Macaca fascicularis: one gene and its partner. The protein of the gene in region 2 purifies or fractionates together with the protein of the main gene of each other region. This does not show direct contact. Links are inferred from orthologs where the notes say so. Each region holds a gene or a part of one and is shown on either strand. Other genes may lie near its edges.

The links.
Region 1: the proteins of NUAK1 (region 2) and USP9X purify together in Homo sapiens (affinity purification with mass spectrometry; 4 studies listed by BioGRID and IntAct, with this or other methods). This does not show direct contact. The link is inferred for Macaca fascicularis from reciprocal best matches to the Homo sapiens genes NUAK1 and USP9X.

Annotation. Positions count from the first base shown.
Region 1 is NC_088395.1:41,066,839-41,071,425, reverse strand, and holds the start of USP9X (ubiquitin carboxyl-terminal hydrolase 9X), read right to left. Parts: upstream 2,940-4,587; 5' UTR 2,659-2,939; intron 2,392-2,658; exon of another isoform or gene 1,631-2,391; intron 1-1,630.
Region 2 is NC_088385.1:113,054,841-113,059,073, forward strand, and holds the start of NUAK1 (NUAK family SNF1-like kinase 1), read right to left. Parts: upstream 3,008-4,233; 5' UTR 2,704-3,007; coding exon 2,446-2,703; intron 1-2,445. UniProt on the Homo sapiens protein: Serine/threonine-protein kinase involved in various processes such as cell adhesion, regulation of cell ploidy and senescence, cell proliferation and tumor progression. Phosphorylates ATM, CASP6, LATS1, PPP1R12A and p53/TP53.

The DNA of each region.
Region 1 (4,587 bases), on a different chromosome or scaffold from region 2:
GTAGAGATAATTAATATAGTCCAAATGTCCTATTTTTAAATTAGAGAAAACAAAACAGTAAAATACCAAAGACATTTTGAGTTCACCTGTGGAACACCAATTCCAAATACTTCAAGCTTTCACTCCACCCAAACGCTGGAACGATAAAGTTTAAAGGGTTAAAGTTAGATGTATGACACAGCACATTAGTTTAAAAATTGAGAAAAAGAATGTTGACATTTTTTATATTTAATATATAATTCTTCAAGAATTTGAAGGCATTTGCTGAAACCAAAATGGCAGCCCAGCGAATTAGAAGACCAGCGAGATCTAAAGGAGAGTTTGTAGTCTCTATTTTTAAGTTCAAGTGTACTAACCAGCCAAGCTAGTCATGGTGAAGGAGTTACCTAAGGGTAATTAGCTCCGAGAGGGTTAAGTACCTGCTGGAAAGTTTCCTAATCAATGCACCCCAAATTATTCCCCTCAAAAGTGAAAGTATACATACGTTAGGTAGATTCAGGGACTCATGGGTTTCCAGGTAAAAGAGCGGCACACACACTTCTCTCGCCGAAAAATAAAGTATGAATAATCTATACCTACAACTTGCTTAAACTAAAAGACAATCTGAAACAATTATATACACCTGTAAACTGCACCGTGTAAATTCAATTAACGTTATAACTATGGAACTTCCAAAAAATAACATGCTTAATTTAAGCAGGTTCTACTAGAAATTTTGCAAATTCTCGTGTAAGTTGTAGTCGCTACAGAAATCCACACAAATAATTGAAGAAGCCATCTATACACCTGCTCTATAACTCTTTAACTTATTTCACAATGAATGAAAAATCAGCCATTTATCCAACCCTAAGCCTCACGTCACAAGAATCTGAAGATCTGATCACTAATAAACTCGCACATGCTAATATTTGCAGAAACAGTTAAAAATAGAAAGATAATAGGTCCAAGCTAGCTTGGAAGCGATTTCTGCACTCAAAAACCCCTTTCACGGCTTTGGCCCTCTGCAAATTAAGCGGGGTTAAGGAAGTGTAGGAGGCCGATAACCCAGCTCCGACTCCAGGAGCCCAGGGCCGGGGAGAAACTGCGGGTTATCGCGGGAGGGTGGGGGGAGGCGGACAAGTCGTCAGGCCTGATAGCCAGGCGTAGCCGAGGCCTAGCTCCCCGACTCCAAATCACTCCACCTCAGTAATGGCGTTTGGTGTCAAGTGGAACCAGACCGGGCAGGAAAGCGGCCGCCGGGCCGGGGGCGGCCAGCCCCCAAACCGACCCGGGCCCCGGGTGCGGACGGCGGGGGGGCTGCCCGCCACGCCCGGAGACTCCATCCTCCTACTCGGCCCCAGACAGGACGGGAAGGGGGAGGAGGGGGAGGGACGGAGCCGTCAGCCATTTTCCCTTACAGTCCAAAACACACAAGACACGCTCTCGGGACACCGGCTCCACACACAACACGGCCCCGCGCGCCCGCCCAGCCCGGGCCGGAGGAGGGGGAACGGGGAAGCCCCGGCCCGGCCGGCAGCCGCCGAGGGAAGAAGCTCACACACACGCACACCCCCCTCGCCCTCCTCCCCTCACCCACATCCAGCTGTTGGCCCCGGGAAGGCGCGTCGCCCCGGTGCAGCTGGCCACTCACCGCACGACACAGACGTCTTCTCAGAACCAGGGCACGTGGAGGCGGGAGGCAGCAGGCGACGCTGGGGCTCGGTCTCGGGACAAGACCTACCCTGGGTGCATCCCAGGCCCGTGGGTGACCGGCAACAAAGTGTATTGAAAGGCTGCGGCGGCCGGGCTCGGGGCTGAGGGCGTCTCAACCAAAAGGCTGCACGCCCGGCGCCGGAACTCGCTTCTCGCCGCGCCCGCCTCCTCCTCCTCCTTGGCCGGCTACGGCCCTCTTCCCCCTTCTCCCCTCAGGCTGGGGCTCTCGCTGAGCTCAGACGGGCTCCGGGCGGTGCGTTTCTCCTGCGTCACCTCCTCCTGCTCCTCCTCCTGCAGCGACGGCTTCACCTTCCCCTAGTCGCCGCCTCTGTCCCCGTTCCGGGCCTGGTGGCTTTGCAGCAGCTCTCTCCTAGCTCCCGGCGCCGACCCAAGCACCGGGCGCTAAGGCGGCCGCCTCCCGCGAGAGAGAGGCGGCGGCGGAGGGCTCCCGCGAGGCCCGGGAGCTATGCAAGGCGGGGAGGGGCTCGGCGCGGCAGAGGCCCTGACGGGGCCGGGTGCGGAGAGGTTGCGGCTCCGGCGGCGGCGGAGACTAGCGTCCGCAGCCGCGGATGCCCGTCCTCGTCAATATGGCGGATCCGGCAAACCAAAAAAAAAAAAAAAACCGCTCGGCCAGTGGCGGCGGCGGTAGCGGCGACGGCGGCGGCAGCAGCGGTGGCGGCGGCGGCGCAGACTCCCACTAGCCCCAGAGCCGCCCAAGACCCGAAGTTCTCCGCCCCCGTCAGACCCCGCCCCTCTCAGGCCCCTCCTTTCGGGCCTCCCCCTGCTCCTGCCCAGCCCCCTCCCGCTCAGCTGCCCCCTCTTCTCCCGCCTCCACCCCGGACCGTCAAGGCTGGGAGAGCAGCGCGAGCCGCCGAGGGGGCCGGGCTTGGGCGCGAGCCGCTGGGAACCCGGAGAGCTAGGGTGGGGGAGGGGAAGACAATGCGGTAAAGATTGTTCGCGCAGTACCGTTTCTTCCGGCTGGCCCCTTCAGGGTCGTGCTACCGCCAGAAATCCTGTTCCATGCCCCTCGGCTCAGGAGCGGGACGAGGGCAGAGGTGGCTCTAGGACCGAAGTTGGGGAAGGGAGGCCCGAAAAGATCTGGCACACCACGCCGGAGGGGCTGGGCGGCAGGGACTGGCGGGGTGTGCGGTCACGACGGGGTTAATCGCGTGAGCCGCAGCCGCGTCGCTCATAGTTTGACTCTGGCCGCTTGTTTTTGTTCCATTGTGAACCGTGGCCCCACCGACAAGAACCCGGATGATGACGTCACCGGCCTCCCCCTTTTCCGGGATCGTGGGGGGAGGGGCGCGGAAAGATGAGATCCCGAGACCACGCGCTGGGCTGTCGCCGCCGCGGTGCCTGGAGGTCCCGGCGGCGCAGCTGACCCGCGTCACGTGACGCACGAGCTGGCCGGGCCACTGGGCTGCGGGGGCGCGAGGTCCCGAGGGCCTGGCCACCTGCTTGGCGCCGATAGGGGGAAGGTGTGGCTATCTCCTGCAGCGGAAGGAGGGGGCGTGGGGAGTGAGGTCCTTTTCCCCACCCCGCGAGGGAGGTGCTCTGGGAAACACTTTCACACGATCGCGCAGCATCAGTACTTGAAAGCGTTTAGGCGTCCTCACAGCGTAACTGACGGGACTGACAACCTTGTTGGCTATAGGAGCCCTTCAAACAGACCAGGAAAGAAAAAAATTATAAAGTACCCCAGACGGCTTAGCGAATAGGCCGTACTTGATATGGCAAGATTAGCCTCCATTGCCAGATCATCAGCACGATTCGGTGTTAGAACCCGGAAGAAACTTATGAACCCATCCGCTGTGTCATGGACTATTTTCTACATGTTTATATTCCAAAGTGCAGGCGTAGGAAAAACTTAGGCTAATCTCAAATTAATGGGGTGCTTGGAACAATTCTATACAGTCTGCCTAGGATGCCCAAATGAAGAGGAAATTAACAGTTCCTAATTTACAGATTTCCTTTTGACTTAAAACTACCTGTGGACATCAAATGGCATGCAAAATCATAGTAAAACCTTACAAAACGAGATTTTATAGAGAACAGGGTTGAATTTAGTTATGCTATGATTATATCAGTTTGTAATAAAAGACTGTTAAAAATGGAACCAAACTAATTTAGGTGACAGTGAAAGCAAGTTATTGGTATCTTAAATTTTTAAACCATTTCTCTATTTAGCACTAGATTGTTTACAAATTTTTCACCACAAAATTACCTAATAGGGTATCCAAGATACATCATTCATAGCCCTAATAACTCTTAGCATATGTTACCTTGTTTTTGTAATTATTTCCATGAATCATTTGCTTACCCACTAGCTCATGGGCTTCTAAAAAGTAGACACGACCACCCGTGTACACTGTAGGCTGTTATCTTCGATTTTAGATAAGGAAACAGAAAGGGTAAATGATTTGCCCAAGGTCAGGATTGGAAAGTGTTGAACACTGGTCTTTTAACCCTATCAAAAGTGCACCTTTAACAAGGATTGTCCCCTCTCACCAATTCTGTTCAATATTGTACTTGCAGTTCTAGCCTGAAAAAGAAATGAAAGACATCCAGATAAGAAAGGAACAATTAAACTATCGCTACTTTCACATGACATGATTTTATATATAGAAAATCTTGGGAAATCCACTATAAAAAAAACCTAATAAAGCCAATAAGCAAGTTCTGGAAACTGCAGGATATAAGATCAATATTTAAACATCAGTTATAGTTTTACACACTAGCAATAAACAATCTGAAAATTAAGTTAAAATTCCATTACAATAGCATCAAAATCAATAAAGTTAAAAATCTATTTAACAAAAGAAATGCAAGATTTGTACATTGAAAACTACAGATCATTGAAAAACATTAAAGACTGAAATAAATGGAAAAAAT
Region 2 (4,233 bases):
TGTTTCTCACTTAAGTTCTTAACACCATCCGTGAGCAGTGTGCTCGGCAGGGGGAGGACAGGGGGGCCAAGGAGGACTTCCCTTCCCCAAACCTCAGTTTTCCCATCTGTTTTATGCAAGGTTTTCACCCAGGGATCTGGCTAACATTCTATAAGCTTAGCTATCAAGGAGAAAGCAGCCCCGTGAATAAATGAAGCATTTTAGAGACTGCCAGTTTCTGGGCGTGGGTCTGATGCCAGATTTAAAATCTTTATATAATTTTGGGGTAAAACTAGTGATTTAGCTGAAATTAATAGCACAATGGGAAACTGAACTAGGGTTGAACAATAACACAGCGGGACTTCAGACCTGTGGCTGGTAAAGAAGCCTCTCTCGTTCTCAGGGCGCCCCCTCGCGGCCTCTTGACTAAATCCTGACGGAATGTTCAGTTTCTGCAAATAAGAGAAAGACATCCCCCAAAGAGAAAGGCGGACTGCTGCCTACTGATGCAAATGCCTTTCACTCTAACCTAGTCTGTGGATCAGGCAGTTCGAAGAACGCCTGACAGGAAGTCCCACTGACGCTCAGAAAGGCATCTGCCATAAGACAAGGGTTCGTTCTTTAGAAGGGTCTGAGGCAGTGCCCCAGCATTTAGACTTTGGGGTCCCTTCACAGACCCCAGGCACACCCTTACCACTTCAACAACCCCTCATAGTCTCACATTCTCAACCTGCAACTCGAACTGCGTCTGTTTTTCATTATTCTGCTTCCCACCTTCCCAGTGCGATTCTTCAGCAGCTATTAAGACAACATGAGCAGGGAGCTAAGCTTAGTTTTTGCTTATTCAACATCCAGCCTGGGGAATATCACCTCAGAAGAAAAGCATGAATGAAGCGCACATGTCCCAGCCTCTTCTTCCACAAACCTGAAAATGCCTTCATCAGAGGCCACCCCTACAACCCGCCCCTGTAACAATTTCATCCTACAAAAATGGCACCTGCCCAGAGTGAATTCTCAACTACTTGCTTGCTGTAGAATTTATTACAGAGCTAGCTTTAAAAAGAAATGTACATCTCAAATTTCCAATTAATTGATAACAGATTTTTTTTTTTAAATAACGTTATGGGATGAAGTTATATAGACTCAAACACCGAATCTGAGAAATGGGTTGGGAGGACATTATCCAGATATCCAGATATTTGAGAATTTGGGGACTGAACTTTGCTGACTTGGCACCCCCATTTTTTTCACAGAACTGTCCCTGCCCAAATGCAAAAGAAACATGTCAATATTAAGCTGCTATTTGACAGCTCATTTTCCTTTTTTCCTGCAGTCATTTGTTGTTTATAAGCAACCCTGAGCCCCCAAAACACTCCCAAAAGTGCACACAAGAAGCCCCATAACTAGTTTCTGACTTTGGCCCTAAATCGATTAAAATACATCTGATCTGTTTCAAATCAAAGAACCATGTTAATTTTCTGCCACACACCACACAAAATCTTTCTGCAACAGTCAGTCACTTTGAACCCAACTCTCTAGCCACAAGCAGTGTGGATTTCAAGGGCCTGTTCTGCAGAAGTGAAAATAACAACAAACCAAGGCTGGGACAAGGCAGACAGACCCCAAGGCACTCAAAGCACTTCTTGTAGCTGTGCAAATGGTGCCAGGACCCTGGCAGGGTGTCAGCTGTCACAAGAGCAGCGGGGCCAGACCCCTTCAGCAGTTTGGTAGCCCTGCAACCAGGAGCTGAAACGCAATTGAGCCGGCTGCAACTAAGCACAGCTATCTGTGTAGCTACACATGCCTTGGACATTTCACTCCTCCCAAAGCCACAATGCAAACTGTTAGAATCCTCAGACTTGCAGTAGTCTTTATTTTTGCTCCCTAACCTTGTCTCAAAAACAGGCAGGAGTCGCCCTCCCTTGCAGCCACAGCATCATCAGGGCAATGCAGAGTCTGAGTGGGAGGATGCAGAGCAAGGGGCTGCGGGCAGATGGGTGCAAGGGGGTAGGGACACCTACAAAACACGGGACTTGAGGGGCTAAAAACACGGGACTTGAGGGGCTAGCTCCTAGCTGGGAATGTGGTTATTTGGAGAGTTGTGGAAATAAGGCATTTCGGGGCATGGTCTGAATGTGTGCCTGCGAGGGAGACCCCGGCCGTCCCAACGCTGCAAAATGTTTGCAAATCTAAAACATTCCTTTGCTGCTGGGATTAAATTTTTTAAAACAAACCAAAAAATAAAATAAAATATGTGCAGACAGGATGTAACAAGTGTTTCAGGACAGAGACACGCCTGAGTCACGGGGTGCTAGGGAAAGAGTGAGGAGTCTGTCTCGGGGCTTCCCAATGAGCCCCCTCTCTGTCAAGAGAGCCCTAGGGCGCACAGATCCCCGCCTCCCACGCCATCGGTCCCCAGCCCGTCCAGCCAGCTTCCCCCGCACCCTCCAGGATTGACCCACTCACCACTCGGCCCGAAAACCTCTCGGTGGCCCTCTTGACTTTGCCGTAGGTGCCTTTGCCCAGGGTCTCCTGCAGCTCGTAGCGGTGCTTCAAGTTGTGCTTGTGGTGATGCCGCTTCACCCCGTGAGGCTTCCTGGGCTCCGGGGCGGCCGCCGCCGCGGGGGCAGCAGTTGCCCCCGCCACCGCCTCTCGAGGAGAGCCCGGCGCCCCCAGCCCCAAGTCGGGGCGGTCCCCCGCCACGGGCGCGGCGGCCCCTTCCATGTCCAAGCGCGGGGCGAGCCGGGCTGCAGAGGGCAACACCGGGCACAGCGCTGGGTTGTCGTGGTCCCCACTAAGGGAAGCCGCGGTACGCTCAAGGTCGCCCCCGCAGCATCAGGGAGGCGGCCCGATACTGCTCGGGCTGCGGCTCGGTCACTGGCGGCGGCGGGGACTGCACATCTGGCGCCCGCGGCGCGCACGGTCCGCGCACCGCCCCCCGGCCGCGGCGAACTGTGGAGCTTCGGGCGAGGTGGCGGCGGTGGCAGGGGAGGCGGTGGTGTTTGCAGGAAGGAGGGGAGAGGGTGGCTCGGAGCGCAGGAGGGGGAGTGTTATGTGGGGCGCCGCGCCCCCCAACCCCTCCCCTGGAGGACGCGCAGACGGGGCGGGGGCGGGGGCGGGGACGGCGCTCGCGCTGCCCCGGGGGAGGGGGAGCGAGGGGCGGTGCAGCTAGGGCTTCCCCCACCTCCCTGCAGCCACCCCGGGCCGGGGCCGCCGTGAGCTGGGAGGGGGATGGGAGCGTGTCGCGACTCGCTCTTTGTGCGGCGCGGCGTAGGCCACGGCGGCGGCGGCGGCGGCCAGGGGGGCTTGGTCCTCGCTGGGCCGGAGGGGACCGGGAAATTCCAAGCTGGGCGCCCCCTCCCCGGGCGCTCTAGGGCTCGCCAGTCGCAGCTATCGCGGGCCCTCCGCCGCCTCGGGGCTCCGGCTCCGGCCGCTCGGCCTGGATTCCTGCTCGCGCCGGGACGGCGGTTGCGGCTGACCGAGCCCCGGGGCCAGGGAAGCTAGAGCGCCGCGAGCCGGGGGCCGCCGGGACCTGCTCGCCATCCGGCCGGGGGCGCCGCGGGCCCAGGCGCCCCTTCATTTTCTTGTAGGTGTCGCCGCGGCCTGGCGGCCGGAGCTGGGGGAGGGGGCAGGGAGGCCTGGTGTTGGGTTACAGGCGGTGACTCACGGACCTTGCCCGCCGAGGCTGGCACCCCGCGGGGCAGAGCTGCGCCCGCCTGGGGCACCTCCGAGTCCAGGAGAATCCCAAGAGCGGCGCTTTGGCCCCGGACCCCGCGCCCTCTCGGAAGAAAGGAGAGTCGGGGACGAGGGAGGCCGGGAGGCTGAACCCCGGGCCCGCCGTCGAACCGCCGGCCCTCGGACACTATCTGGACCCCGGCAGGGACAGCAGCCTGGAAGGGGAGGAAGGCCGGGGACGTGGAAGAGATGAGGTTCTAAAGGCGCTGAGATGGAGCTGGCTCCCCAGAGGCGCCCACACTGCCAGCGAAGGCCGCCATCGGAGGTGGGCAAACCAGGGACCTGGGGTGGACCAGGAACCCCGGCCTGCTGAGCAACCCCTTTGCTGAGCAGGAGGCGACTTGAAGGCCTCTTGCCTCCTTAGGCCTTGGAAGATTTCCTTTCACTGTAAGGGCCAGCCTGATCCTGGCGATGGTGACAGGAACGGTACCCCGCACGGTAAGGGTCAGGCAGGAAGGGCCTCCCACCGCGGTGTGACTGCCCCCCTTCTAAGAAGAGACCATGAAAAATAAGGAAGAA